Linked DNA regions of Bombyx mori. The protein of the gene in region 1 interacts with the protein of each later gene in a biochemical or structural test. Links are inferred from orthologs where the notes say so. Each region holds a gene or a part of one and is shown on either strand. Other genes may lie near its edges. The genes, in order: bromodomain adjacent to zinc finger domain protein 1A and chromatin-remodeling complex ATPase chain Iswi.

Evidence for each region.
Region 2: the proteins of bromodomain adjacent to zinc finger domain protein 1A (region 1) and chromatin-remodeling complex ATPase chain Iswi form a complex in vitro, tested with the Drosophila melanogaster proteins (3 studies listed by BioGRID). The link is inferred for Bombyx mori from reciprocal best matches to the Drosophila melanogaster genes Acf and Iswi.

What each region holds. Positions count from the first base shown.
Region 1 is NC_085131.1:1,101,209-1,117,674, forward strand, and holds part of bromodomain adjacent to zinc finger domain protein 1A, read left to right. Parts: intron 1-1,255; coding exon 1,256-1,432; intron 1,433-2,116; coding exon 2,117-2,283; intron 2,284-2,908; coding exon 2,909-3,091; intron 3,092-3,597; coding exon 3,598-3,768; intron 3,769-4,268; coding exon 4,269-4,401; intron 4,402-4,973; coding exon 4,974-5,174; intron 5,175-5,654; coding exon 5,655-5,911; intron 5,912-6,633; coding exon 6,634-6,749; intron 6,750-11,765; coding exon 11,766-11,962; intron 11,963-12,543; coding exon 12,544-12,630; intron 12,631-14,979; coding exon 14,980-15,106; intron 15,107-15,652; coding exon 15,653-15,729; intron 15,730-16,063; coding exon 16,064-16,167; intron 16,168-16,466.
Region 2 is NC_085119.1:7,649,898-7,666,865, forward strand, and holds the start of chromatin-remodeling complex ATPase chain Iswi, read left to right. Parts: upstream 1-9,262; 5' UTR 9,263-9,458; intron 9,459-9,562; 5' UTR 9,563-9,694; coding exon 9,695-9,745; intron 9,746-9,854; coding exon 9,855-10,078; intron 10,079-10,259; coding exon 10,260-10,517; intron 10,518-12,209; coding exon 12,210-12,333; intron 12,334-12,834; coding exon 12,835-13,122; intron 13,123-13,244; coding exon 13,245-13,458; intron 13,459-14,116; coding exon 14,117-14,388; intron 14,389-14,558; coding exon 14,559-14,786; intron 14,787-14,900; coding exon 14,901-15,146; intron 15,147-15,246; coding exon 15,247-15,352; intron 15,353-15,476; coding exon 15,477-15,622; intron 15,623-16,217; coding exon 16,218-16,324; intron 16,325-16,430; coding exon 16,431-16,564; intron 16,565-16,689; coding exon 16,690-16,805; intron 16,806-16,968. Other genes in the region: uncharacterized protein LOC101736534, read left to right, coding at 4-504, 896-1,054; FAST kinase domain-containing protein 5, mitochondrial, read right to left, coding at 4,469-4,914, 5,658-7,269.

The DNA.
Region 1 (16,466 bases):
ATATATTGATGGATGCTAGTAGATTTTCTCGATTCATGATATTTGAGATTTGAAACGATACGCTGATATAATATCGTAGTAGATATAGATTTAAGTCAACGTTATACGGTTGTTTTTCTGATATCAATTTATAATATGATCTTAAAGTAATAAAAAGAACATGAAAATAAAAATATCAAAAAAACTTTCCTTCATGCTTTTACCAGGCTTAGGACTGGCTACATTATTTTCAGTTTTTAGTATTTTATGTCTTAATTTAAAATTACAAAATATACCAAAAGAGTGTAGATTTCAAAAGTTTAATACAAACACAAGAAATAAACTCAATTATTTGGATTCAACTAAAAATAGAAAAATATGTACTTTAAAAATCTGACACAAAAAACTTTTAAGTATTTATAAACACTTGTCCAAAAATTGTAGTTCAAGGTCAAAGCGCGTGAAATTAAATTCAACGATGCAAATAGGCTATACTGCATTCAAGTTAGGGTCGAAAGTTGAAACTTCTTTCCTTAATTGTATCCTGCTGATACGCTAAGAATAATCTACAGACATATGGACTTAAATATAAGGTTTACAATTGTATGGATAATGCCTGTTTCTGTTTCATTCATCACATGATATCCCTATCGTGCGCTCACTCACTCTGGCCGATTCGATACGAACCAAACGAATATTGCTGATATTCACGAATCGGTACGATATGCCGATGCGCATCACGTCGAGCAATATCGTATATCGGCTGATATCGAAATATAGATTTCGATTCACGAATCGGTCCGATATGGCGATGCGCATCACATCGAGCAATATCGTGTATCGGCTGATATCGAAATATAGATTTCGATTCACGAATCGGTACGATATGCCGATGCGCATCACATCGAGCAATATCGTGTATCGGCTGATATCGAAATATAGATTTCGATTCACGAATCGGTACGATATGCCGATGCGCATCACATCGAGCAATATCGTGTATCGGCTGATATCGATATATAGATTTCGTGCGGGGCGATATCGGATTCAACGATATTGCTGCGATATATAGATATTGAATCTATATACGATTTATATCACCCACTCCTACTATCTCATTCTCTCGCTGGCTGAATCCTATACATGTCTCTATGGACATATTTTTTCGTTTCATCGAGTTTGAAATCACAACGATTCTAAAGAAGTTTTACTTCAAAAACTCCACTTGGACGTGCTGAAAAGAAAATTGATTTGAGAACATAACTATTTTCCGCAGGCATGGATCGCGCTTACCGTCGCTACTGGCTCAACCAGGCCGTGGCCGGGCTGTTCGTGGAGGCGGGCACGGAGCCGCGCGGGCCGTGCCGCGACAAGCCGCTGCCTTCCGCTCCTGAGCACGGAGAGGACACCCTCACCTATGTCACTAGATTGTTTGAAACCGAAAAGGAAAGAGGTATGAAATCCACGCAGTGAGTGTCATTACTGTTTCATAGAAAGCTATGTATCATACACAGCCACGGGAATTCCTAGTCATAAGTAAGGAATAAAACTTTTAATATTTATTATGTTGGGCATATACATAAATGAGTCGTCTATTATCAAAGCCGGCAATCTGACTTTTGAACAATATTGGTAAATCAGAAAAACTAATTATTGACTTTGTATTCCATTGGCTGTCACAAAACTCTTCGGAACGACATCTTAGATAAATAACAGGTTAACTATTAACCTTTATTTAATGCAGGTTTTGAACCGTATTCTTTGAAGGAGACGATTATATTCAAATCAATCTGTATTGACATATCAATAACATTTTTTTGTCCAAATGCACAGATTGCCACCTTTGATAATAGACGACTCAAATGTCTAAAAATAATGATGTAGACACTTTTACATAACTAAAATTAAAATACTACAACCGTGACTAATAATTGGAAATTTAATATCAGAGACCTCAACTTAAGCTTAGCTTAATTTGTATCGATATTTTTTTTAATGCATTTAATATTAAACTAAATTCGTTGCAACCTGTTTGCATTATGAATAACGTTATTTAAACAATTAAATGTTTTCTATTTCTGACATGAGTTTAAGTGATTGTTGATGTCTCTTACACTCGTAAAAATATTCTTTTCAGCGAGTAGTGATAAAGAAAATGATTCGGCAGCAAATTCACGGGGGAATTCCCCAAAGAAACCGCTCACGAACATCAATGGCTTAACACACAGGAACGGGTTCGATGATATCACACAACAGCTATTGATCTGCAGCGGAGATCTTTCTACGTGCAAAGTGCATGGAAAGGTGAGTCTTACAACACTTACACTAGAAACGATAACACAAATTTCGCAGAAGTTATTTGTAAATTCAGTTTTACAAATTTATAATATAGTCTACATAATAGTTAATATGAGTCGACTATTATCAAAGCCGGCAATCTGACTTTTGGACAATGATTGGTAAATCAGAAAAACGAATTATTGACTTTGTATTCCATTGGCAGTCACAAAACTCTTCGGAACGACATCTTAGATAAATAACAGGTTAACTATTAACCTTTATTTAATGCAGGTTTTGAACCGTATTCTTTGAAGGAGACGATTATATTCAAATCAATCTGTATTGACATATCAATAATTTTTTTTTGTCCAAATTCACAGATTGCCAACTTTGATAATAGACGACTCATATACCGTTTTACATAAAGGGGAACATATGGAAAATCATAAAAAGTATTAGAAATGGCTACAAAAACTAGATTCCTATGTGATCTGAAAAAGGAATAGGGTTCTATAATAGACATTTGTTTCAGTAGACTTAAATTTAAAATTACAATCCATTACTTAATAAACAAGATTTGAACTTATCATTACAAGTAACCGATATGAACAAATCTCTAAATAGTATATATAACACAATTAATTATCAGGTCGACCGGCCCCAATGGTGGGTCTACCACACAGAGGAACAGATAGAAGCATTGATCCAGTCTCTAAACAAGCGCGGTATTAGGGAAAGTGAACTCCGACAGAGCCTGGAGCTGGACAAGGACAACATCATTCAGTACCTGAGGAAATGTCCTGTCAAGTACCTCAATGGATCTGCTGCTAGTGTGAGTTGTTATACTTACTATCGATATATGAACGAGCCAGGTGTAACTCAACTAAAGAACACTACAGGGCTTTATATGCTATGGGAACCTTTGAATCAATTTTTACCGTTGGTAGGACCTCTTGGGAGTCCGCTCGGGTAGGTACCACCGCCCCGCCTATTTCTGCCGTCAAGCAGTAATGCGTTTCGGTTTGAAGGGTGGGGCAGCCGTTGTAACTATACTGAGACCTTAGAATTTATATCTCAAGGTGGGTGGCGCATTTACGTTGTAGATGTCTATGGGCTCCAGTAACCACTTAACACCAGGTGGGCTGTGAGCTCGTCCACTCATCTAAGCAATAAAAAAAAAGATGATGACTAGTTACACGATAAAGATAGTAGATCCTGTGAATTCTTATCAACACTAAGATTTACTGAATGAAAAGAAAAAAGAACAAAGACAAGAGCAGAAGGACTGGTAGGTACTATGGAATTACATTTAGAATATAACAATGTGCGTTCCCGCAGTCTCCCCCTCCCCCCGCGCCGCACTACACGCGCCGCCGCCCCCCGCCCCCCTCGCTCACCGTGCCGCGCGACTCCTCGCTGGCCGAGGCCGTGGAGCTGGTACTGCGCGACTATATCCTCGATCTGGAGGAGAAGATTCACTACGGATGCCTTGGAGCCCTTAAAGTTAAGGTGGGTGTTGTCTTTAATATTTACCTGGCCAGTCCTGATTACGGTTCCCAATTCCAAGGAATTAGGAAGGGAAACTAATGTGAAGAAAGGTATTTCATATTGTTGACTCTTACTGCATATTAAATGAACTTGAATATGGTCGAATTTTGACCACTTCTCCTCTTTGCTTATTAGTGTTTTTTTTTATTGCTTAGATAGGTGGACGAGCTCACAGCCCACCTGGTGTTAAGCGGTTACTGGAGCCCATAGACATCTACAATGTAAATGCACCACCCACCCTGAGATACAAGTTCTAAGGTCTTAAGCATAGTCACAACGGCTGCCCCACCCTTCAAACCGAAACGCATTACTGCTTCACGACAGAAATAGGCAGGGTGGTGGTACCTACCCGCACGGACTCACAAGATGTCCTACCATCAGTAATAAATAAGATTATTTTATGATCCTTGAACCCTAATTGTATTAATCGGTGTTAACTAATCACTTGCTAATACAAACAGGACCGCGAGGCGTGGCGCGGGACGATAATGCTGCGCGGGTACGACAAACAAGCCGACTACCTGACCTGGGGCCCCAACCAAATGTACAGAGATGACTATCACCAGCCCAACGGCGTTCTGAATATTCCTCAAGGTATTTACTTGTATAATATTTGGGTCATTAAGGTAAAAAAATTAATCCCACACAAGGTTGCATTGCTAAATACATTCGATATTAAGCCAATATTTTAAAAAGAAAATCATTTACGTGATATCACTTCACTGCCAGCAAGTCTGGTCAGTCAAAGAATGTCCGTCATTCTGGAATAGTCTTATTATATTCTTAACTAGCGACCCGCCCTCGCTGCGCTTCGGAAACATTAAATTTTATTATTGAATAGTTGAGTCCCGCGATGTTACCCGCGGTTATTGTCGTATCGTGAGTGACGCCGCGGGGCGAAGCTAGTCTAAAAAAGTAGCGTTACTCCTTATATCATCAGCTACCTGTCAGTAAAAGTCCCGTCAAAATCGGTCCAGCTGTTCCAGAGATTAGCCGGAACAAACAGACAGACAGACAAAAATTGTAAAAAATGTTATTTTGGTTTATGTACGGTGGTATATATATTCATATGCATGTTGTAAAAAGCGGTTATTTCAATATTACAAACAGACACTCCAATTTTATTTATAATAGATAATAAACATTTTAATTTCGTATTTCAATAGATCTTGACGAAACAGAGCTAGAGTCGATACCGGTGAACAAATACCGCGACCCCGGCTACTACCTGGAGGCCGCCAGGGTGAACGGAGTCAAGGTAGAGGGCGACGAGCTGAAGGCGAGGCGTGACGTCATCCGAGGGCTCGCCTGCGCCCTGCTGCAGGTCTCCCAGGCCATACACGCCAAATACTTGAAACGGCCTCTGGGTTAGTGCGGGCTATCATTATGTGTTGTGGACTGATGAAAACAGTTGGAACAATTCTAATAGATAAGATCAACACCGATTTGCACTATTACTGATTTTTTACTGGTGGTAGGACCTCTTCAAAGTCCGCACGGTTAGATACCACCATTCAGCCTATTTCTGCCGTGAAGCAGTAATGCGTTTGGGTTTGAAGGGTGGGGCAGCCATTGTAACTATATTTGAGACCTTAGCTTAACTTAACTTATATCTCAAGGTGGGTGGCGCATTTCAGTTATATATGTTTATGGGCTCTAGTAACCACTTCACACCAGGTGGGCTGTGAGCTCGTCCACCCATCTAAGTAATAAAATATATAGATATATACTCATTTGATATATACATTGCCTTCGTTTTCGATTGGGAAGTGATCTTAGAAGTAATTAAGGTGATTCCTTCGTCTCGTGTCTGCGCCGCGTCTGTATCGTTCCGGTTGGTTGTGCAGGGTGGGACGAGAAGGGGCGGGCGCGCAGCACGGAGGGTGGCGCGCTGGCCCGCTGGCAGGTGTCGCTGCTGGAGTGCGGCAGCGCGGCGGGCGCGCGGCTGCACGCGGCGGCGCTGCACGCGTCCGTGTGCTGGCGCGCGTCCGTGCTGCGCGCCGCCTGCCGCCTGTGCCGCCGCCGCGCCGACCCGCACGCCATGCTGCTGTGCGACGCCTGCAACGCCGGCCACCACCTCTACTGCCTCACGCCGCCGCTGCAGGTACAAGCAGTTGAGAAGTGGCAAGGGACACCCGGATGGAACGAAACTCCTTTCGATTAATTAGTGAAGGAGTTGTAATAAAAAAATATATTTTTTTAGTTATAATAATGTTTTGTATGTACAAAAAACCTGTATACACTGAACAAAAATAATCGTCTCGACACCACACTGTTGGACCACACAATGTAAAAGACGAAGCGAAAAATAAAATAACTAGCTTGCTTTCTATGAGAGAGAGAGACAGACGGAGAAACATGCGCACGCCGCACAGCTTACAACTATAGCAAAAAGTGTCTTTACAACTTTTGGGCTTAATTTTTTTCCGTATAGCCCCCTTTCGCAACGCGCGATAAGGAACTTCGTTCCAATAAAAAAGAACATTTCGAAACAATTCGAAAATCCACATGTAACATTATGAAATAGTGATAATAATCTCATAGAGGCAATTTCCAAAGTGATTTATTAAATCAGCATATCCATTTCTTTCATGCAAACAAAAGCCTGGCGAACTTAAGGTAAAATCGCACGTCTGCACGAGCGGATACTAAATATCTAATAATTACACTATTCATTTATTAATGATGAGTTAACAATCTCGTATGTCCACAATTTTAAATACGTCTTCTGAATATTTTAACTTGTAACTTTGTCAACATTAAAATCCACCATTATATAAAAATAAGTACCATTTACATAATTTTCAACATGATTTAAAAATGCAGAAAGTACCGGAAGGCGATTGGTTCTGCGATCAGTGCAAGCCGAAAGAACATAAACGGTCACCCAGGAAGAAGAGGAAACTGTACTCCGAGGAAGATGTCGAAGAACCACCGAACAGGCAAGTCCTTTCATTGAATATTTTGAAATAGTTGGTTACTGCAACACATAGATCATAACATTACGGTCCCAGCTTCAAATCAGAATGCACCACTGCCGTGTAAGCTTGCAATACACCTTACCAACAGTAAAAGTCGGTTGATGATCGCAGTGCGTTTGTATAACGCGTCGCCGATTCTCTGGCTCTCTCCCTTTGAACTAAGGACTACCAGGACACGCAAAGCAAAACACGGGCATGCTATTCTAGGATGACACCACACCGCCAAAGTTCGTTTATGTCCATGTAAACGGTCACATCTTTTTATCTCTCTACTTTGTGTTTATCTTCTGCGCTCTCATAACACAGGTGAAAATTATTTAAAATGGAACAGTTTATTTTTGTTTTATTTTTTTATTGCTCAGATGTGTGGACGAGCTCACAGTCCACCTGGTTTTAAGTGGTTGCTGGAGCCCATAGACATCTACAAGGTAAATGCGCCACCCACCTTGAGATATAAGTTCTAAGGTCTCAAGTATAGTTATGACGGTTGCCCCGCCCTTCAAACCGAAACGCATTTCTAATGAAACTAGCACGTTGAGATTCAAATGAGAACTGGTTTTTATTCATTCAAAAAAATATACACAGATAAAACACACAAATACCAATATAGGTTAGTTTCACATTAGTGACAACAGATGTCAGTACTTAACAGTATTTAATGTTGATTATTTAGATATAAATTTCAACACTCCCACTATATCTAATAATCATAACCATAAGCATTTATAAAAAAATATTAGGTAACATTTTACACAATCACCAATCCTAACAACTCCATAAAGGCATAATGTTTCTTAGCACACAAACTTTTAGTAAACAAGTCAGCGGGCATGTCAGCAGTCGACAAATAGTATAATTTTATTATATTATTTGAAACACACTCTCTGGCAAAATGATATTTCACATCTATGTGCTTAGATTGTTTGTGAAATACTGGATTCATCGACAACTTCTGTGCACTCTGATTGTCATTAAACAAACTTAAAGTATACATTTTATTTGTGATTTCAAACTGCAAAGTTCTTAAATATATGGCTTCTTTACATGCTTCTGAAATACTCATGTATTCAGCTTCACAGCTTGAAAGAGCTACTGTTTTTTGTTTCTTACATTCCCAGGATATTACTCCATTGGATAACAAAAAACAATAACCAGTATATGACCGTCTATCATATGTATTGTTTGCCCAATCAGCATCAGCAAAACCTTTAATTTCTTTATTTCCATTCTTACAATATTTAATACCAAATGATTTAGTCCTTTTTAAATATTTTAAAATCCTCTTAGCATAATGCCAATGCTCATCAGTATGATTAATATTAAACTGGCTTAAATAGCTTACAGAGTAAGTTATATCTGGTCTGGTTAAGACCGACAGGTACATTAGGCTACCTATAAGCTGCTGATAGGGCACTTGTTTAGTTACATTTTGACCAGTGTTTACATTTAACTTAGTCTCCATTGGAGTTTCAACAGTCTTACAGTCTGCCATTTGAAATTTTTCTAATAAACTCTCAATATAACTTTCTTGATTTAAAGTAACAGACCCTTCCTTTTTATCAAATTTAACATTCATCCCAAGACACTGTTTTACTTGCCCTAAATCCTTAATTTTAAATTTATTTGACAATATTTCCTTCAGTCTATTAGTTTCCTTTTTATTATTGGAAAAAATAAAAAAATCATCGACATAAAGGGCCACTATAGTTACCATATTTTCAATTTTCTTTGTATACATACAATGTTCTAATTTAGATTTCTTATAACCATTTTCAATTAAACAACTATCTACCTTTTTGTTCCAGGCTCTGGACGCCTGTTTTAAGCCATAGATGGCTTTATTAAGTTTTAACACTTTCTTATAGTTATCTGGGGTATTAAAACATTCAGGTTTTTGCATGTATATAGTCTCCTCTAAGTTACCATTTAAAAAAGCAGTTTTTACGTCTAAATGTGTAACATCTAGATCTAATTGGACTGATAGTGAAAACAAAAGTCGTAATGTTGTATGTCTAACAACAGGCGAGAAGGTTTCCTTATAATCTACTCCTTGTTTCTGGGAAAAACCTTTAGCTACAAGTCTGGCACGGAACCTAACCTTACTTTCACTATCATATTTCTTACACAAAACCCATCTACATTTAACTATAGTACTGTCTTTAGGTGCATCAGTAAGTTCCCAAGCATCATTATCTTCAAAACACTGTAATTCGTCCCTTATTGCCTCTAACCACTGTTCCCTATCTGGTCCTTTTAGAGCCTCATCAAGTGAAAGTTCACAAACATTTTGAATAACACTATTTTCTAAACACATATTAGAATAACCATACCTGTCCGGCTTCTTTCTTTGCCTAGAGGAATAACTTCTTTTAAGACTCACAACACTTTCCACACTGTCATCAGAAGAATCATCTGGTACATAAGTCTCATCATTATCATCATGAAAAATTTCACTTCCTGATTCATACGATGTGTCTCCCACTGAATCCTCACTGGATTGTGATTGTTCAGTTTCCTCAATCTGGACTACACTTTCTGTTTGTTTGGCATTTTCTATAATGATCACATCACGGCTTGTTGTGATATCCTTAGTGCTTGGATTGTAGACTCTATAACCTTTTACATCCTCTGGGAAACCAACTAGAATCCCTTTTACAGCCTTTTTATTCCATTTGAGGCGCTTCTCTTTTGGAATGTGCATCATCACTATACTTCCAAATACCCTTAAGTGGCTAATATCTGGCTTTACTCCATTCCACATCTCAAAAGGTGTTTCATTCAAATTTTCCACCACTATCCTATTTTGTAAGTATACAGCAGTATTGGCTGCTTCAGCCCAAAAGCTTTCGTCCATTTTAGCATCAAAGAGCAGACACCTTGCCTTTTCCACCACAGTACGATTAAATCTCTCTGCCAAGCCGTTCTGTTCTGGTGTGTATGGATTGCTTTTCTTATGAACTATTCCTGCTTTACTTAAATAATTATCAAACTCTTTATTCACAAATTCTTTCCCATTGTCGCTTCTAAGAATCTTAATTTTTCTGTTTAATTTATTCTCCACCTCAGCTTTGTATCTTTGAAAACATTCAAAAGCTTCACTTTTGTTTTTCAAAAAATAAATATAGATGTAGCGACTATAGTCATCAATGAATAAAATAAAATATCTGGAACCACCAAGCGACACATTCTTGAATGGCCCACATACATCCGTATGTATTATCTGCAGGAGATCATCACTTCTATTTCCATTATGTGGAAAGGGTAAACGATTTTGTTTCCCTTCGCAACACACTATACATGATGACTTTGATATTTCTACCTTTCTATCAAGTGTAAGACCTTCCACAGCTTTCTGCATTTTACTTAAATAGTTACTGTTGACATGACCAAGCCGACGATGCCAAATTTCACTCGAGGTCACCATTGCAGCCAGCCTTTCAGGTATTCTCAACTTATAAACTCCATTTAATAAGCAAGCTGTAGCAACTAGCTCATTACACTTATTAAATATTTGACAGCCATCATCTTTAAACAGGACCTTGTTGCCTTTTGCAATCAATTGACTTACGGAGATGAGATTCGTGGTCAAACTAGGTACACATAATACTCCTTCAACAACCACATCATACTCACAGTTATCTGTCAATGTTGTTAATCTCACATCACCAGAGCACTTGACAGACACTTTTTCTTTATTCGCAACAACAATTTCTTGGACTGTATGATTGTTCGACACATTTGTAATCCAATGTTCATTCGCTGTCAAATGGCCACTAGCACCTGAATCAATGTACCAATCATTCTTCGAAAAACAACCATTTAGGAACACGGCACTGAACGCATTTGTTTGTTTACGTTCACTGAATTTGTTATTTGATGAATCTTTTACATCATTAGGACATTGATTACGATAGTGTCCCGTTTGTTTACATTTGTAACATTTGATTACTTTTTGTTTTGACATTGATGTTGACGTCCGAGTTCTTCCGGTATTGGCGCCATACTTTTTTCGATAACTCGCAAATGCTCCGCTAACGTCGCCACTGTCTTCCTCCAAGTCCATCAATTTTGTTTTAATGGCGTCGGCCGTTATATTAATGCCCGAATGTTCAATCGCCATTATCATTGGCGAATATTTTTCAGATAATCCAGCTAAAAGCAATGATCCTACCCACTCATCATTAAAATGAAAGCCCGATCCACTCAATTTTTGGCTCGTTTCTATGATTTGAGTAACATAAGACGTCATAGATGTACAATTTTCAAGACGAATTGATATCAAAGTTCTCAACAAGCTGATCCTTCTAGTAAATCCTGAATCATCGAATAAATGCTTTAATTTTTCCCATAGTTTCTTCGTATTTTCGACATCCTTGATATGTACATATAGCGACGAGTCAATCGTTAGAATCAATTTTGCCTTGGTTTTCGCATCGGCTGCGGCTTCATCTGGATTCGTGACTTTAATACAGTCCGAAGTACCTTCCAGTATCAGAAAATTCTCCGCGGCGAAAGCCCACTCCTGGTAGTTCTCGCGACCTTTTAATTTTGGCACGCTTACAACGTAATTCGAACTCATTTTCACCGGCACAGTGTATTCTCAGTCCACACAAACTTATACAGCATTAACTTGCAAGTTCTTGACGGAAAAAACACGTAATTCTGGGTCCATAACCTCTAATGAAACTAGCACGTTGAGATTCAAATGAGAACTGGTTTTTATTCATTCAAAAAAATATACACAGATAAAACACACAAATACCAATATAGGTTAGTTTCACATTAGTGACAACAGATGTCAGTACTTAACAGTATTTAATGTTGATTATTTAGATATAAATTTCAACAGCATTATTGCTTCACGGCAGAAATAGGCAGGGCGGTGGTACCTACCCGTGCGGACTCACAAGAGGTCCTACCACCAGAATTTTAAAATAGTGTAAAGTTGCAAGTGATTGATTGGCAATGTTATGACAGCGAAGCGGAAGCGGAGGAGTGCGAGGATGAAGAGGGCGGCATCGACGCGGGCGTGTGCGCGGCGTGCGGCAGCGGCGGGCGCCTGCGGGCCACGTGCCGCGCCTGCGCCGCCGCCTTCCACGCAGAGTGCGCCGAGCCGCGCCCCCCGCCCGGCGCCGCGCGCTGGCTCTGCGCCGCCTGCCTCGCGCCCACCAGAGGTCTCTGTCCTAACCTTTATGTGTACATACAGGAATTCGAGGGTAGCTATGTGTCGACAACTAAACTCTCTTTTTTTAGTTCAATTCTTAAAAGAATCTTCATATACATGTAGTTGAATAGATAGAACCAAACGAAATCTGAAATAGGCACTATGAAATATTAAAAATATATATTCTTTTGTCAAGAAATGTTTTCACTATAATTTCCAGACGCCCCAGACTAGACAATACGTAGGTCTTGAGGTACCAACTATTAGGGTTACCAACGTCTATATAAAAAAAATTGACAACACAGATGCATACACATATATACTAAATAACAAAAAATATAGATCTAGGGGCTGTAAAACAGTAGAATTTGGTATCGACGTATGATTATTATGAAAAAAATCTTTTGACAACCCAAATAAAGATTACAATAACGTTTTAACCCTTGTATTCTATAATTTACATTCGAATTCGCTGTAAAAAATGGTTGTTAAAATTATGGTTAGGATAATTGATATTTAAGCCACAGTTAGCGACATGTAGAGTCAGCGAAACAAAAACATAATTGTAAAATGATAATTTCGATGTTGAAGCGATGTCGAGCGTCCGGCGCTGTGCTGCCACCGCGTTGTCCAACATCCACCAGTACACGAGGGCGCTGCACGCGAGCCCCTCCTCCGGTGCGTTACTGTCCCCCCTCCCACCACTCCCCGGCACACTGTCCCCCTCCCAACGCCCCCCGGCACACTCTGTCCCCCCTCCCAACGCCCCCCGGCATACATCATTTTAGTCATTATGGGAGTGCTCTGTGTACTGCGCACTAGTAAACGTGCTTCTAGGATAGAATGGCTAGTGATATGGGACCATTTAATTACTAAGCAATGGCGGGAGGACCACAATTTTCGTTTCGTTTCTGTCCGTGATCTGATAATGATAATACAATGTGATTGTACGGGAATCATTGCGATTCCTTCATCGTCTTTAAGTGTAAACACAATTATCAATATTTACACTTGAATTCAAACGCCGCAGGCCTTCTATCTGTCTGCTACCGTATGACGTCACAATAATCAAACTGATAGTTTTCTGTCATACAGCCAAGCGGTTAATTAATTTTATGAAAAATGCACGTTCCGTTGAAGCTATATAGCTAGTACGCAGATTTGTACATGGATGCACCCGGAATGTTGACGCTCTATCCTGATGCACTAAGATGATGTAGCACGGGATCACGCGAGGTCCCCCCCCCCGTGGCATGTCTCCCGTTCACCGTCATTGGTGCATTGTTCTTTCATTCATAAATCCTGTTCTTATTCTATTGCTTTTCTTTGGTTTACAACGTTCTTCGCAAAATGTTTACTTTATGCTTGGCAACCCTGTCGCGTAGGCCTTCATTGCGACATGTATCTTTACAATAAATCTCCCGTTGAACTATAGGAACTGTATGCTCGTCGCTGATAGTAGTGGCAATGCAAGAAGCCGACTGCCATCTTGAAATACACAGTAAAAGATCCTTATTCGCGCTTCCTTCGGTAGCGTTTTCACTATGCGCGGATTAAAAAAATGCGACCAAATTCCTATATTCGCGACTAAAGATTTCCTTATTCGCGGATCTAATTGATACATAGGTACGTATGCGTTGATAGACATGATTCCAATATAATAATATACTGACTACTTATCTTTTGAAAAAGCGTCGTCAAATGGATTAATAAAAAAGTAAAATGGACCTTATTACAACTTTGCCTAAAGTATATTTTTAAATGCGGACACGTGAGACGGAACGTTATGGATAAGAGCCGCTTTGCGTGTTTTATTGTTTGATATTTCCATTCGTTACAAAAATTGTGATAGACCATTCCGTATTCACGGTTTCTGTATTAGCGGTATATTTACGGAACATATAGCCCGCGAGTAAAGAGCTTTTACTGTAAAGAAAAGTCACATATCTTCGACATGACCCATATGTTCTTTCGTAAGCTCGCCTTGTGCATTCCCTGTTTTGTGACTTGAATGTTACTTTGATTCATGGCGAACAACCGTTAATCAGATTGCTTTTAATTTTAAACTAAACTATTGACATTTTCATTAGTACCCAATGACAACTCATATTTTACTGTTTATGTTTCTATAAAACACATAAAACTTCTTGTTTTAAGGGTGGGCTGTCCCATCTGTCCACATCGTTCATTGAGACCACTATTGAGATATTGACCTCATGTCTCAAAGTCGCATTGTTGTTGCGACTTCTATGCGCTTCTGTGAGCACTGACTACTTCGTAATTACCCATGTAGGTAATAGAAAATCTTCATTTCCGTCCCAAATAAAAATGCTTTATAGTAATAACAATGTCAGTAGCATGACTGCATGTGATAACGATAGATGTAGAAATCAAACTTCGTACACGCAAATGGATTATTAATTCATTTCCTTAATCACGATTTCCGAACTGATTCTTCTGTTTGTAACCATCAAACCATTGCTCATCTAAATAATTAGATTGCTTGTTAGAAATAGGACTTACCTTTCCTCTTTGTCAATTTGTAGAAATTAAGTTTGCTTTTTCCTAATATTGTTCCGTGATCTCATATTATTTACCTGCGCCGCCTAGTGAGTAGATATCTGACGTACAAACTAATATTTGAGAACAATAAATAGAAAGTTTATAAGGAAGATACAATTCTATAAAAAGCAATCAAGACTAGAAAGCTATTTAATTTGTGTTCTGCTTTATAGTGATTACTACTCACATGTAACAAATTACATTATTTTACTACAAAATTGGGACAAAAAAATGTGGAAGAGTAATTTTAAATGTTTTTCAATTTTTGTTTAACAAAGATTGTAGGCAATATCCATAGACTAAATATTGCTTCAAAAACATTATGCTGTGTGCCATCTATGAATTTGTTATATGATAAAAAAGTAAAAAAGATTATCAACAAGCAAGGTTAAAAAATTTAGTAACTTTTATTAAATAAATAAATATTGTACATATATTAAATTTTAATTGCTTTTTCATGTGTAGAGTCAGAAGACAGCGATTACAACACGACTCTGGTTAAACTGAAAAAGAGGAAACAGCGCCACAGCAACGACGCGGTGCCCCTGCAGAACGGGACCACCCCTCCTTCGGGGAAGAAACGCGGCAGGAAGTGAGTATTCATCACGCCCAGACCCTCGGGCGCTCGGTTTAAAGGTCGGCAGAGAGCTTTGACAAAACTCCTCATTCAGGGGCCCTTAGATGTTCTTGTTTAGGTACCTATAGTGCACAGACACAAAAGTGCCAAGCCCCCTTGTGTCCGTGAGATTGTCTGTCTGATTGATTGACTTGGATATTTTCTCACTCATGAAAGACATGATAATACTATGGTTGAATAATTTTGTTTTTAATGACAAATGACATTTTTTCTGCTTAAGGACAAGTAAATTAAGTAATTTACTTGTCCTTAAGCAGAAAAAATGTAAATGTAGGGTAAGTACCCTCTTTTTGGTTTTGGACTAGATAGCAGTATATCCCCCATAGTGCTTCTGTGTAAACAAACAATATTAATCTGCTAAATCAATCTTACCACACGTGTCAATTATTACACGTATATTTATTATAGATGAGACTTATTGTGTAAGCGAATTGACATTTCGGCGACTCTCACTGGTCATTGGTATCGGAGCTCTGACGAACTGTATTTGTTCACTTCCAGACCAAAACACGAGAAACTGAACATGAGCAACGGGAAAGATAGGAGATCGAAAAATTCCCTCACAAACGGAGTTCATGGTGAGTGCGGGGGGCGGCGCGGAACGCGGGGTGGTGGAGCCCCCGACACGACTGGACTGTTCTAAGTCGGTGGTTCACAGTTTGCTAAGTTGAATCAGGATACTAGTGTAAACACGTATCATTAATATGCTTCCTTAAAATTTATTTAAAAAACTTTTCTTTAACATCCCACATAAACTTTGAACCTTCTAATTTGGCATAACAAGAGTCGAGTTGTGTAACGTTTATCGGATCAGAACCAGGTTTATGCAACATCATCTTTCTTACTTGAACATGGTGGTGGAGCCGTTCGCGTCTTCATGACCCCTTACGAGAGTCCCCGTTCTGTCCGCAGAGGAGCGTGCGGCGCGCGGGCCTGACGCCGTGCAGCAGCTGCTGCGTGACGTCATCAAGCACAAGGACAGCTGGCCCTTCTACGAGCCCGTCTCCATTGAGGATGTGAGTCAAGCGCCAAGGCACCATAATCTCTTTTCTGGCCGGAGTTTTAACCTTAAGGTTCCCGCGCACGGGGGGCGCGCCACGTGTAGGACTCGGTGACCGAGGAAGCTAACTCCCCTGCGCTCGCCCGGTCTCCGTCGTGCTAGAGGGGACAAATAAAATAAAAAATATATTATTATCTTCTATTTATCGCAAATAATTTAATTTCAAATTGGGGAATGGATAAGTATTTCACAGCGTCATAGTATAGTGACTTCGCTGGATACGCGCGTCTTATCCTTTAGGCCACGGTGAAATTG
Region 2 (16,968 bases), on another chromosome or scaffold:
CAGATGCCAATAACAAACGGTCTACAAAACGGAAACCATTTGGCGAAAGCTGATAACATATTAAAGACAGTTTTAGACCTTAAAACTTCAAATTGTAGAAAAAACGGTACTCTAACTCGAACTCCGACACCAGACTACGTCGACAAGGCACACGTACAACTAAAAACGGTCAAAGACGAAAAAGCTGAACTAGAATCACTCGAATCTTATAAACTTAAGAATCCCGTTAATGTCGCACCAAAGCCGCCATCAAATTATTTCGTAAAAGCACCAAATGGAACTACGACCATGAAGAAAAATGCAAGACCCGTGTCAGTAACTATATGTGAATATTCAAACAACGGCAACAGTAGACGTGAACCAACGAAGTTAGACTTTTTAGGTACTGATATGCCAGATGGAATTTTAAGCGATGGGAATGATATACCTATCACGAACAGACTGCAATCAGAACTAGCTTTAACTTTGTCTAGATCTAATTTACGTAAGAAAACTGAAGCTTTGGTAAGTAAATTGGACGAATTATTTTAAGCATTTCGCGGATATCAACTTTTTTTTTATTGCTTAGCTGGGTGGCCGAGCTCACAGCCCACCTGGTGTTAAGTGGTTACTGGAGCCCATAGACATCTACAACGTAAATGCGCCACCCACCTTGAGATATAAGTTCTAAGATCTCAGTATAGTTACACAACATTCTATAATACATCAAAAACACTTTTATTTACGGGTTCTTGCCTCGATTTGGCACAGCCCCGATATATCGGGAACTCATTAAAACGAAAATAGCCCGTAAGAAAGTGATTGTTTTTGAATTAGTTTTAACTTTTGTCAAGGCTCCGTGAATCCAACGATAAGCTTCAAGCAGTAAAATTAAAATTAAATAAATTTTTTTCAGGTCAAGTCCATAAATGGAAATATTAATTTGAATTTTGATGATACCGGTAGTGACAGTACATCTATAGACAAAAATTTTCATGCCAGATATGGCAACAATCTCTTACCCCTACCGCCTTCGATATCTATACCTAAAGTAACAAGCAAAATTGAGAATTGACCTAAAACTGATGTAATACCTACCTACATTAAAAATAAAAACTACAAAACATACCACCTCAACAAAACCAAAGTATCTATACAAACATTTTGTTAGTCTATTTAAAAATCACAGTTTCCAGATCGCACCAAAAAGTACCTACAAAACAATTGTGCTTTAACTAATTATTTAAGGTGCTGGTTTAAATATGATTAGGTTGATTAACTTCCACGCATCCGATTTATGTTTGAGTTAAGCACTGTAACTAAAGCAATTATATTTTTTGATAGTCAAATAGTTGTTTGATTTTAATTTTGTCTCATTTTTCAGAACGACGCGAGTCGGTAGACTTAGAAAATTGGGAAAAAATGGAAAAATACAGAAAAGGAGCTATTCGCGATTCTAAAGGAGTTTTCAAAAATTTTATAAACCAAAGTTAGATAATTGTATAATTTATGGAAAGTAAAAAAATAACATAGTCAAACTGTCTTAAATTATTCTTAGGTTGAAATAATTTTTTTAATATAATTTTGTGATCGTGTTCATGAGTAATTTTATCTGCGTAAAATAAATTGTCTAATAATTATTGATACATAACTAGTGTATACTTATTCCATAATATTTTTGTTATTTTTAATAGACCTACATATCTAATACATTTGTTTCATCGAAACCTAAGTCAATAAAATAAAGCATATAAATCAACTTGAAGGGTGATTTTTTTATTTATTAGTTTAGTAAATTAGCTATCAAAGATTAGCTTCGCTTTGATTATATTATACACTAAAATATTTAGCGAGCGACAGTCCTCATCAATTTTATAATATTACCTATAAAATCATCCTGGTCTAAAACCTTACAAACGAATACGTCGAGCTGTTAATTAATAATAAAAATCTTAATTATAAAAAAAAAATACTAAGGCAAACAATATTAATTTCTAATTTTTTATCCTACATAATGCTTGAAGCGAGTGTAACGTTTGTTTGTCGCCAGTTCAAAAATGCGGGTTTCATTGAAAAATCCAAATTGAAAATGTATTGTAAGATGAACTGTTTTTATATCTTTGAGGTATTGATACCATTCTGCCATTCATTTGCACTTGTACTCTTGTCTAACTTAGTGTACGCAGACGTCCATTGACAGACATAGACCTTGGATTTGTGCGACTTTTACCAGGTCCACTCTAAAACTTTTTGGCTCCCACGACAATCAGTTCGTCGAACAATGTGCTCTGCATATAACCAATTTAACCTCGCAATCCTTCGGGCCATGTCGGTTATTTTGGTTTTTTTTTTAAATCTCCTCATTCCTCATTGGATCTGTCTGAAGTCTTAAGGTATTGCGTACAAAATTGCATGTGTTATTTAATACAAATGGTAACTGGTTAGGGTTCGCTTGTGGGATCTTGTAGTTTTTATTTATTTTTATTGCTTAGGTGGTTGGACGAGCTTACGGCCAACCCGATCTGAAGTTACCGGAGCCCATAGACATCTACAACATAAATGCCGCTACCTACTTTGAGATATGAGCTCTAAGGTCTCGTTCTGTACAACGGCTGCCCCCTCCTTCAAGCTGAAACGCATTACTGCTTCACGGCAGAAATGGACAGGGTGGTGGCGGTGCCTACCCGTGCGGACTCTTAAGACGTTCTACCAACAGTAATTACGTAAATTATAATTTTGATAAAGTAAGTAAACTAGGTACTCAGTTTCCTCTTCTATAGTCTTTGCTTTCTCGCGGGCAACTTGAACCTTATTGTTCAGTTGTTTCATAAATTAGAGTTATATCTTTAGGCGTCGTTACAGACGTTAGACTTTATAGATATTAGTTTCATTTATGTAGTAGGTATACAAAATTTTGATGCAAAAATAAGACAATAGATAAAAGGTATTTTTAATTTATTTCGTTAACACTTCATATGGGTGGCAGAGATTTCCTGCCGATGGTGTATTAGTTTGAATCTAAGTTTTCAATTTCGCTAAATTGTAAACAAATTATGTGCAAAATTTTTAAATAATTTTATTAGTTACTTTGTCCTCTAACTATTCGTTGGCCTAGAGGCTATTCCAACTACGCGCTGCTCAAACTGAGACAATTACTAACACTGGCCCTAGTAAGAGGAGTGCTTCGCTGAATCTACTACCGAATCGGAATCGCGACCCACTGAGAAGAATCGACGAGAAACTCAGTGGGTTGTGTCTCTAGGTATATCTAGGTATATCTTCGTCATAATCGACGAGTTCGACGAGGGGCAGTGACCAGTGCTTGGAGACCCTAAAAGCACTGAGTGCCTATCCGAGAGATCCGACAAGGACATGTTTCGTACTCGGATATCTAATTAGCGGTGGACACGATAGCGGTTATCGTGTTACGCCGTTTTTTCAAATTAGTTAATTACTATTAACGTCCGCGGTTCCATACGAGTTCCATGTTTTTTGCGTTTATTTATTACATACAATATTTGGCGAATAAAAATAACTCATTCTTCTGTACCTACGAATGAGTCGATAGAAACGGTGGAACCGTATTAACCTGGACAAAAGAGACAAGTTTTTAAAACGAGTGTTTGTATTTCAGTTAACTCCAAATAATCACACAAGGTTTTGTTTTTTAGTTAAAGTATCCTTTATTTTGAATTTAACGAACATGTTTTAAATTTCATTTTTATTAATATTATTACAGCTTTGTACATAAGCTGTTTTAAACGGACGAACTCAGCCTTCTTCTTCTTCGTCGGTATCGCTCTTGACAGAGTGGTTGTGATCATCAGTTCATGTATTGGTAGCAAACTTCACAACACGCCGCCAGTCTGCTCTGATAGTCTCCCTCCTCGTGCATTCAGTGATGATGACCCATTTACTGCCTCTTTATATAGACTCGTTGGTACGGAATTCAGTCCACTGGAAACTCACCAAGCTACCTCAATATCAAGAAATTCTGCCATGAAAAATATTTTCAGTTCATTCATATTTTTCTTTTGAGACCTAAAGAGAACTAAACTTATAAATCTGGCACTTTCTAAGAATTATGACTATGAAGACTATTAAATACAGTATCAGTACAACTATGATTTTTCCTTGATCTGTTTTCGATTAAGCTACAAAGATAACTTTCTTTCTCTTCAAAATTATCTAGTTGTGAATATGTTTTCCATGGCACCTGAAACATGTATAGGGTTTAGTTAGACCTGCTTTAATTATCTTGAAAATAATTACTGTCAAAAAATCTAGTAAAGATTTATGATTATTATGATGCTAATTCAATAAATCTAAATACTATTTAATACCGATAATGCATGCTGTAAATTCGACTGAGTACCACAGTCATCCCTATTTCTGCCGCTAAGCATTCATCCACAGCATAATGGAAAAAGTCATATGTTGCGGTATACGGTTATGGGAATATATTGCAGAAGGCATATGACCTTCCGGCTTACACAGATGTTGGCTGAATACAACTATATCGGTCGGTACATCGTCGGTCGCAATACCGAAAAGAAGCCGACGACGGAGTGCCACCATTTTGGCTGCAACAAGGACACGGTGGATATGTGATGGCATACGCTCGCAGTTTGCGGTGTCTCAGAATGGCATCATCGTGTCGTGCTCCTATCATATTTCTAATATGGTACAATAAAATTATTTTTAAAAAGTTTACCAATATTGGAGTGTAGCCTAAAGCTGCAAGTTCTCGAATTTTTGTCTGAAACTGTCCTGTAGGTACATTACAGTTCTGAATTAGAGAATTTTTTCCACCTATTATAAGTACAATCCAATCATTGTCATCAGGAGGCTTCCGAATATACCCAAATGTATCATTTTTAAATGCTTCTTTGACTGGCATAGGCTTTCCATTGTGATCATTGCAAATGATTATATCTATAAATAAACATTGTGAACATTATTATACCATAATAGTCACATTTGACCATTGACAATAAATTCAAATTCAAATTTACTTTTTAATTTATTACCATTTCTGTTTGCATTGATGTGAAAATCACTTTAATATACATTAGGCTAAAAAAAAGCTACTCTAGCTAGTGTGATTTTAATTTATTTTAATTAAATTTCGTATTAAATAACTTAGCACTAGATAAGTCTGTTTATACCTATCTAACCTGATTGGCAAAAGTTCAGTCAAACATTGGTCTATACAACTGTTTTTTTTTATGCCTTTAAAGGTGGCACCAGAGGACAGTACACTTGAGGTTGAGCAATTCACCTAAATCCTTATTGAAGATCACCACAAATAGTGAAACATGAGATCTTTGTATAACAGATGTTTTGCACTTCTCATCTGCTTGAGGTTACTTTGTGTGAAAAGTGTGCTGGATAGTGGTGGGGACCCATTGCTTTATTTTATTACACAGTGCAATTGTTTTATTGTGGAAGCTGCGCAATAACAATCATTGGTCAAGTAAAAGAATTTAGTAAAATATATGATGTACTTGAAAACATCCCAAAATATATATTTTTTTCAATCATTACAATCATAAGATTGATGTGGTGGGGGTTTAGTCACAAATTTAAGTTTCGCAAGCTTATTCCTGTCAGTACAAAGGAATTAATCAAGAATGATTTTAGATATGTAAACCAGATGCATATTTCATACAACTGACCTCCTCTTTGATGGTGGGTTAAAATATGTTCAGCTATGACATAATTTTGGCCGCCTCGACAATCTCCCAAAACTTTCATAATATCTAGCATCATTTTTTCACTAATATTGTACTGTTTTTTGTAATTTTCAGATGGTACATAATCTGTATATTTTTTTGACAGGAGGAGCACAGCTTTTTCACTAAGCCGATTCATTGCAGACTCCCTGCAAAATATCTCTGCACTGTTATGTAGGCTTAATAATTCTTTACCATAACTAAACATGTGTTTGCCATATGTATTTTCTAAAAACTCTGGGCTTAAAGCTTTACTTATTAAATCTACAGGATATATCCCTACCAATCCAAAAAATGATATACAGCAACTGTATGACTTTCCATGTTGTGAAATCTCAGGAAATCTTTCAGGTTTTTTCAGTTCTTCAATTACTTTAGAAAAAAAATTATCTTTCGTAGCTGGTATTAAATTAAATGTGCCATATGTAAAAATTAATCTTTCAAGGTCTTTTAGTCTTGTTTCATGCATATGATCCATTATATAATGGGCTATTTTGGTAAGACAATCATTGTGTACTGTAAGTGATGATGTTCCAACTAGTGCTAAATGTACATTGCACATTACAGAAAGCCTTGTGACTTGATGTTGTAAAACATCTAGCAGTGAAAATATTTCATTATTTTTATTTTGCTTCACTGAATATCTAATGATTTTTAAAATAGCAGCTAGTGCAACTTCATGAACATGTTCAGAATCTTCAATAACTTTATTGATTATTTTTGAAGCAAGCTCCATACTTCTTATAGGACATTTACTCTTAAAAAAACCCATGCTCATTATGCCAATGTCTTCAACTGAAAAACATGCAAAGTTTTTAGAAAAATGAATTTCTAAATTATGCATGTCATGGGGTTGTTTACGTAGGACTCCCACAAAAAATAATGTTTGAACTAGTTGTCCTGGTGTTAGTTGATTTGCTTTAGTTGCTAATTTATTTATACTTTTCCAAGAAAAATCACTTACTCTTGTAACATTCAACATAAAAAACAATGATATAAAAGATAACATTTCATCGTGTGACCAATTTTTTAATCGTTTTAGGCATTCATCATCAAGTGCAGCCCATACCTCAATATAGTTTCTTGTTCTAATCGATGCTGTTTCTGGCCACATGTTTAAGGAATAAAAAAGAGTTTTTAATTGTGAGTCAGTAGCCATTTGTATGGTATCAGTTAGATTGTCTATGAAATTATCAAATATTTCACTTGATATGCATAAGCTATGTTGTGAACAATATTTTCCGAATATAGGGAATATTTCAAAAATTTCTTGGGTTGTTTTCTTAGTCCAATCTTCTTTATTTAATCGCTGAAACTCTTCTTGAGATATAGCTTCGCTAGAATGTTTTGTATAAATATTTATTGCATAACCTTTATTTTCTAACACACTGTATGCATATTCATTCTCTTTTTCCATATACATTTTAATGAATAGCCCAGTACTACTATGAATAGATCGCGTATAACCTGGTTTAAGCTTAAATTGTGAAACACACTGCAGTCGAAAAATTGATGTTATTAACAGTTTTCGCCCAATATTTATAAAAGTACTCATATTTAAATATTCTTTAATTCACAAAATCAAGTGAACCCTTTAATCTAGTATTTGTGCATGTTATCTCCCCATTATTATTTACTTCAGTGTTTTATTTTATTCCTACGTTAAAATCTGGTTTATTGGTTATGTCAAATGTTTTTTTTTTTTAAGAGATTTTATGACCTGGTAACTGAGACCTTTAAGTCATGTCTTATTTTACTTTATATTCTTAATTTTATGAAAAATGATAATATGGAGTGAAATGAAATGAAGATGATTAATTTGAAACATTAATCAACTGGCATGAAATTTAATGAAATGAGATGATATGGGATGAAATATAATCGCAGTAAAATGGTGGTCATTTACTGAGATTTTTTCAGTGGACTTTTTGGACGAACCCGAGAAGTTACGTCCAGCAGCTTTGTTTCATTTTCCCACATTTGTGCACTTTCACAGATATTAAACAGTTAATAAACCACCGTTATTACACATTTAAACCTGAAGAAACACTAAATAGACAAAATAAAACAAATCACACAACTTCACTCCTCGCGTTCCCGCCAAAAAGTCATGTCAAATGTCATATTCGCACTTCACAGTAGGTACCTACTTCACACACACTTCCATAGACCTATATACTTCAGTGCACACTTCACACTCACAGGCTCTCTCGTCTCACGCTTTTTTTTTCTGGCCTGTGGCCTAGCCTTCTACGAGGTCCCCGCGCCTAGGGGGCGCGTGGAACATCAGTGGCTGGTAAGCATCTGCGTCAGCCGAAAGGTGAGACGTCCGCGGTCGCGGCCCACACAGTCCGTGAGAACCGGGCGCACCGCTTCGACGATGCGGACGGTTCATCAAACGACGAGATTGTGCCTCCAGCATGGACCGCTGAGATTAGAGCCTCCGCGCTCGGATCACTCCTACACCAAGGCACCCTTCCCCCTTAGAGCGAAGACGTCTCACGCTTTGGTATTACCTTTTTTCTGCCTGTTCTAGTAACCTCGAGGGGTTATTCTAGATTCACTGAACTATTAAGTGAGCTCGCGGGGCTTAAACCTGAAGCTGTTGCTAACACGAACCGCTTGCCGAGCCTTTCGTCACAAGCGACCGATCGACGAGAACGATGACTGGTGCTTGGGGTACCTAAAAGTGCCGTTAGGGGATCGGGAGGATCTGAAATGACATATTTTGGGCGACGTTGACTGTTTACCATTTGGTCCGCAGGATCGGAAATGTAAAAAGCGGGAACGCGAGGTGTGAATTTATTTAGAATTTTAATTTACATACTTACATATTCTTTGGATTTAAGTGTGTATTAATTGTGGCTTATTAGCCATTTAACGTGTAAGTTCACAAACTTAAGACTGCATTTAACGTGTTTAGATTTTTTTGTTTGGTTTGTATTAAGCTATTGCATAGCTTTTATCGTGGACTTTGAGCGCGGCGACTGAATTAAGAAATTCCGTAAGGAAAATAAAATCTAACAACCCTCACTCAGTCTACGATGTAGCTCAAACATTCACACGTTGCGCTTGTGTAGTGTTTGTGAATAAACGCGCGGCGCGACGTCGCACTGCATGCGCATCATGAAAAGTCTGCCCATCTCTCTCTCGCGCGGTCTATGTAGCCCTTATATGAGTGTGAAGGGGACAGTTACCTAATGTTTTGCTTTTGTTAATGTTTATAAATATAGCGTGGTCTTATTTTATTATTGTTTTAATATTAAATTATTATTGTCTAATTATAATTGGATAAGTTGATAAAAAATGCTGTGCAAATAGCTTTATCGTGGCAGTCCCCGAGTGCTACACGTGTTTTTTTTTTGTCACATTTAAACAAAAAATATTTTCCCCTCATATTATTCGATTCCGTTGCATTTAATTACGTTCATAATCATCTTCCAATAACTCATCATCATCGCATTCCGGTCTATTTATACTTTTTGTCCATTAGAAAAAAGATTTGGCCTTTAGAACACATCAAGATTTGGCTTAAAAGACTAAAATTCAGGCTGTCAAACACTTTTAAAGGTGTCCTTTGCCTAAATAATTAGCTATAGTGTTTGTGACACTCTGTGATAATTTTTTGCTTTTGTCAGTTTGCGATTTTCGCGCCCGGTTGTAGTGTAATGTAATTACATTAATCTTCAATTGTGAACAATATTTAAACAATTCAGTCAATAGGTATACATTGTACTACAAAATGTAAGAATTTATTGAGTTCCAACAAGTTGAAAGTGTTCTTCTTTGGTTTTCATACATACTTTAATCTTCGAAGTATCTAGTTTGTAATGTTCGTATGTTTTCAGCCTTCATGCAGTCAATTTATAACTAAGTTGTTCAACCAGTGTACAATTGCTGGTTTCTGGTTTATTTGAATATATTTTCTAACTTCGCAATCTTGGTCATCTAGTTCAATATTGTTTTAACTGTAAATAAAAATGGCCCAGTCGGATGATGCCATGGACGTTGCCGATATTGGCGACAATTCCGTGAGTAGTTTAATTTTTTTATTAATAAACTAACTAACTGAATTTTACTTAAACTAAAACATTTAATGAATCCAGACTAATATTACCACACCCAATTTTATGAATTCAGAATGGCTCTTCAAGTGACACGACATCTTCAAGAGGGAAAGAAGGTGATTTCGAGAGTAAGATTGAAACTGATCGTTCCAAGAGATTCGATTTTCTACTAAAGCAAACGGAGATATTTTCTCATTTTATGACCAACACTCCAAAATCTGGTGGGAGTCCTCCAAAACCAAAGGCTGGCAGACCCAGAAAGATAAAAATAGATACTGAACCTGAAGGTCCTGGAGAGTGAGTATCAATATTACAAAGTATTACTTGTGACAAACTATAACATCTGTGTATCAATAATGTAAAATCTACTTGACAAATTATACAAGTATGGTGAAAAAATATAAATAGTATTATGTCCACTGAATGCTGTTGAAAGATAGATTAATAAGATTTCAAAACTTTTTTTTTCATGTGTCAGTCACAGACATAGAAAAACTGAGCAAGAAGAAGATGAAGAACTTCTGGCAGAAACAAATTCAAAACAAAAGACAATATTTAGATTTGAAGCATCTCCACATTACATAAAAAATGGAGAAATGCGGGATTATCAAGTTAGAGGGCTTAACTGGATGATATCATTGTATGAAAATGGTATTAATGGAATTTTGGCTGATGAAATGGGTCTAGGAAAAACTTTGCAAACAATTTCTCTACTTGGATATATGAAACATTTTAAGTAAGTTCAAAATTGTTACATATGAGTCGACTATTATCAAAGGCGGCAATCTGACTTTTGGACAATGATTGGTAAATCAGAAAAACGAATTATTGACTTTGTATTCCATTGGCAGTCACAAAACTCTTCGGAACGACATCTTAGATAAATAACAGGTTAACTATTAACCATTATTTAATGCAGGTTTTGAACCGTATTCTTTGAAGGAGACGATTATATTCAAATAAATCTGTATTGACATATCAATAAATTTTTTTTGTCCAAATGTACAGATTGCCGCCTTTGATAATAGACGACTCATATGTAATGTTCAGTGTGTTATAAAATATATGCAAACAGTTCAATATATTTATGGGATTTCCAATTTAAGTGCCTGTGTACCCAATACACAAAAAAATAAAAAGTTTGATAGCAATCAAGTGTAACAACTTTACTTCTGCTTTGTATTCAAACAGTACAATAGTAAGTTATGTTATCATTTATTGCCTAGGTTGTATTATGTAAGTTAAAGGTGTGATTATGGCTTTGTGATAGTAATAACTAGTCTTAGGACAGGTTAAGTAGTAAAAAAGTCTGGACGTGTTTTTTTTTAATTATTGAAATCCTAAACTTTTTTGTATAAAGTATCTGTACCAACAGTCTAGAGACTATCAAAATCACTTGGTAGGGTATGCTATGCAATGCAGACCATGATTAATGATGAGTCTTAGTGTCTGCCACAGTGAAGCTTTAGTTGCATGGGCAGTTCCATGACATGTATCTTGAGCCCATTGGAAGAACTGTTGCACCAGTTGGGATTACTGTTTTGCTGATTAATCAATTTTTTGTTTAGATAATTTTCTCATGAACTGAAAACATGTTAAGTGTCAAAGTATTTTTATTTTTTTATTTATTGCTTAGACGAGTGGACAAGCTCACAGCCCACCTGGTGTTAAGTGGTTACTGGAGGCCATAGACATCTACAACGTAAATGCGCCGCCCACCTTGAGATATAAGTTCTAAGGTCTCAGAGTAGTTACAACGGCTACCCTACCCTTCAAGCAGAAACGCATTACTGCTTCACGGCAAAAATATGCAGGGTGGTGGTACCTACCCATGCGGACTCACAAGAGGTCCTATCAGAAGAAAACAATATTAGTATCCCAATATTTTGGGATCCCCAGTGTACATCTACTCAGAATCATATGTATAAAGCTACCTATGATTCTGAGTAAGATTTTTAGTTGGGCACTAAAGCCATAAAAGATTGAAAGTAGATTTTTAAATTATAAATTTATTGTCAGTGTAAAGTATATGATTTTCACCAAGCTTTGAAGTGCCTGTGGCCAATAAGAAAATGTACCCAGTGTATTTGCAATGATCTGCATGGTGAAATTGTTAAAATACTGCAGGCAGTTATCAATGCTTCTTAAAGTAAATAAAGTAAAGTAAGTCCCTAACCCACATTCTGGAGTGGATTTCATGACAAAGGCAACACCATCATCATGTTCTAAAGGATAAGAGATATGTACAGCTTACTCATGTCAAGTAATGTCATCTTACCTGTACTGGCAGGTAAGATGACAATTTTTATTAGGAAATTTGGTTTTAACAGTGGGTGTGTTGTAACAGTGTTGTTTGTTTATACTTTAAATAAAGACACTGGAAAAGATATGTCGTGAATGTCTAAATAAGTATTAAAAAAAATTTCAGAAACGTTCCTGGTCCTCACATAGTAATTGTACCAAAATCCACTTTGACAAATTGGATGAACGAATTTAAAAAGTGGTGCCCTTCACTAAAAGCTGTGTGTCTTATTGGTGATCAAGAAACAAGGGTATGTATAATGTTCATTGCCATTTAATATTTATAGCAAAATTTTAATATATCATAATACAAGATATTAGTAGAATATTACCAAAGGCAAATAAAGTGATTAGAATAGCAAAATTTGACTAAGTACATAAATAGTCCTTTTGAAAAGTCTGTATATCATTAATATTCCACATTACACAGAAAGAAGAGAAACCGTTAACAGCCATTATAGAGCAATATAAAACCTTGTATAGAATTGAAAAAAAACATTGTACATTATTATTTTTAGACTTCATTTTTCTGATTATATTGTATTGCACTATTATATGTTTTTTTTGGTACTTGTTCTACAAAAAAAATATGTATGCTAAAAATATATATATATATATTATGCAAAAAACTTGTGTGCAAAGCTTAACCTAGACTAGTTTTCTTAAAACAAATATAAAATAGACATCACTTTAGACTAGATACAAATTAAAAGTATGGTAGGAAAATGGATTAATAAATAAATATGTTTCAGAATACATTTATCCGAGAAACCTTGATGCCTGGAAACTGGGATGTTTGCATTACATCATATGAAATGATTATAAGAGAGAAATCTGTCTTTAAAAAGTTTAACTGGCGTTATATGGTGATTGATGAGGCTCACCGTATCAAGAATGAAAAATCTAAATTATCGGAGCTGCTTAGGGAATTTAAGAGTATGAACAGGTTGCTGTTAACTGGTACTCCCTTGCAAAATAATCTCCATGAGTTGTGGGCACTATTGAATTTCCTTCTGCCTGATGTTTTTAATAGTTCTGATGTGAGTAATAATACAAGGAAATGCACAATGGAAAAAATGCAAAATTAATGAATACTATTTTAATTAAATATTATTTTCATTAACCTTTTTAACATTCAATGTTTTTTTTTCTGATATTCTAGGACTTTGACTCATGGTTTAATACAAATGCAGCCCTAGGTGATAACCAATTGGTTTCACGTTTACATGCTGTACTAAGACCATTTTTGCTTCGGAGACTCAAATCTGAGGTTGAGAAAAAATTAAAGCCTAAAAAGGAATTAAAAGTTTATGTGGGTTTGAGTAAAATGCAAAGAGAGTGGTATACTAAGGTTCTTATGAAGGATATTGATGTAGGTAAGTCAGAATATGTTCATTATGCCGAATAACAATGCCTTAAATGTTTCCCTAAACATAGGTAATATGTTTTCTAGAAATGGGTTTCACCTGTCAAACGGTTAAGAAGTCACAATAAAACAATAGGTAGTTAATATATCCATAGTCTTGAGGTAACTAGGAAAGCATCTGCTATATGCCTTTGCACTATATTGTCCAAGATATGAAATGAAAAGTTTATTACTTAAATTAGTCATATTTAACTTACTTTGGAAATTTACTATAATTTACTATAATCATAGATTAACTGAGAATAAAGTAAATATAACTAATTTTTTCTACAAGTGCTATCTTCTAAAGGAGCTTGGAAAGCATTACAGTGACTTTAACCTTACACAACTGGTCTGAGGTTCTTTTGTTCCATTGGTTTCTTTTCTCTTTACAGCTAATTAATAAATAATACGTATAAGAATAATAGATAACTCTCCAGCTTTAGATCTTTTGTTTCGACATGTCTTTGATATGAACTGTGACGTTTCATGGCTAAGATTTTGCATTCGGTGTCCGAGATACTTGGGTGATGTTGAGTAAGGGCAAGATACATCTACACCTGTTGTCTTAAGTTTATTTGCTTATTAATAAATTAATTACCAATTTGTAATAATTTTATTACCTATAGTAAATGGTGCTGGAAAGGTTGAAAAAATGCGACTCCAGAACATTCTTATGCAGCTACGCAAATGTTGTAACCATCCTTATTTATTTGATGGCGCTGAGCCGGGTCCACCGTACACAACTGATGAACATTTAGTATATAACTGTGGTAAACTTACTATACTGGATAAGCTTTTACCTAAGCTTCAGGAGCAAGAGTCGAGAGTACTTATTTTCTCACAAATGACTAGGATGCTGGACATCTTAGAAGATTATTGCCTTTGGAGGCAATATAAGGTAATATTAAGCATGATTTGAAAAATTTTTTTTGCTAGCTTTTAATCTTTATTTAGCTGCCTTTAAATGTAAATACTGCATCCACAGACAATGCTGTAAATTAACTCTTCATAAAAATAAATGCATAGCATATAACTTAAAGCTATGCAATATTGTAATTTTTTTTATAGTATTGCCGTCTAGATGGTCAAACACCACATGAAGATAGAAATCGACAAATAGAAGAGTATAATATGGAGGGGAGTGAGAAATTTGTTTTTATGTTATCTACACGAGCTGGTGGTCTTGGTATTAACTTAACATCAGCTGATGTTGTTATTATTTATGACTCTGATTGGAATCCTCAAATGGATCTGCAGGCCATGGATAGAGCTCACCGTATTGGTCAGAAAAAGCAGGTGGGTTTAACTTAAATATGTTTTGGCAGATATAATTTTACAACTTTTGCACACCGGTAAGATTAACTATTAGTGAAATTTGTAAAATAATTTATTAATCTAAATGTTTCATAGGTCAGAGTGTTCCGTTTGATAACAGACAACACGGTTGAAGAAAAGATTGTAGAACGTGCGGAAGTGAAATTGCGCCTGGACAAACTTGTAATTCAGTCCGGTAGACTGGTCGACACTAAGAACCAGCTGAACAAAGATGAGATGCTCAACATGATCAGACATGGTGCCAACCACGTCTTTGCGTCTAAGGATTCTGAGGTTACTGATGAGGACATCGATACGATTTTAGCTAAAGGAGAGAGCAAGGTATTGTAATATAATATAGTAGGAAAAAAAAGCTTTGTAATACAACCACTTGCTTGACAACATGTGTTAAACTAGTTTTTTTTTTAATATACTATTATAGACTGAGGAGTTGAAGCAGAAATTGGAGAGCCTGGGCGAGTCGTCCTTGCGAGCATTTTCAATGGACACTCCTGGCGCGACCACCGACTCAGTTTATCAATTTGAAGGTTGTCCTCAAAACTATTTGATAAAGTGAATTTCACTTCAGTTTTGAACTGATAATTTGGTAAAGTATTCAAAAATCTATTATTTTATACTCACAGTGTTAATAATATTATTATGCCCGTTTAGGCGAGGATTACAGAGAGAAGCAAAAAGTTATCCCAATGGGTAGTTGGATAGAGCCGCCTAAGCGCGAACGTAAAGCTAATTATGCCGTGGACGCCTACTTCAGAGAGGCTCTACGTGTATCTGAACCGAAGGCGCCAAAGGTACAGGTAAATAAGTGTAAAGAGCTAAATCGGATTCCTCAGGAGTCCTCCTATTGGCGATTGTTGGTATTGGTATTCATTTAATCATTTATGTAACAGTATTTTGATTAGCTCTTTATACTGGTATTTATGTATGCCTTATATAAATATTTAGCTTACATAGTAGATTATGAATATCTCGTCTGTTTTGTAAAAGACTCTTCTATTTTAATTTTGTGAATTGCATTGGACAAGAATCCGAAGAATAGGAATGTAGATAAACCAAAAACAAAGAATCAAAATATTCCTAATGGATAGACATTTAAGTAAAAGTCCATATAAAAAAAATTACTTTAAAAAAGTAGTTTTCATAAATAAATAAAAATTATTACATTATTATATTATTGATCTAAATTATAAGCAATAAGTTAAAGTTGCAAATTTGTCAACATTCATTCAGAGCGCGTATTATTTACTATGTATTTATTTATATCTATTCATACATATGCATAATAATATATCACGCAACTAATCAGAATAAATATATAATTAGCTTTATATGCACGCTAGTTACATAGTTATTTATTTTTTCATTTCATAATGAACATACGTTTTTAAACAGGCTCCGCGTCCTCCGAAGCAGCCCATCGTACAGGATTTCCAGTTTTTCCCACCACGACTTTTTGAGTTGCTTGATCAAGAAATATATCATTATCGCAAAACCTTAGGGTGAGATAATTTGTTTATGTTTTTTTTTTTAAATACATGTATAAAAGTATTCAAAACTTACAAATACATACTTGCAATTTGTTTATTATTTATTTCATAACCACAGATATAAAGTTCCACGTAATCCAGAATTGGGTCCAGATGCAGCGAAAATTCAGAGAGAGGAACAGAGAAAAATAGATGAGGCAGAAGCGCTTTCTGAAGAAGAAGTCCAAGAAAAAGAACAATTACTAACTCAAGGTAAAACCATAAAAGTTACAACCATTAAAATTATTGAATAGCAGAAAATTTGAAATTATACTTATTATATAATTATGTTTTGCATATATTATGTACTGAAATGTAATGAAACGTGTACTTTGTAGGTTTCACTAATTGGACAAAACGTGATTTTAACCAGTTCATAAAAGCAAATGAAAAATACGGACGAGACGATATCGAGAATATTGCAAAAGATGTTGAAGGAAAAACACCAGAAGAGGTATGGTGGAATATTAATCGCATTTACTTACATTATTTGTTTAATCTTTGTTGTACACATGAAATAAAATATGAAAACTGTGTACTTTTTAAAAGACACACAGACAAGCTGAACTGGTTAGTTTTTGTTCAGCAAATATTCAAACTACAGATAGGGTGACAAA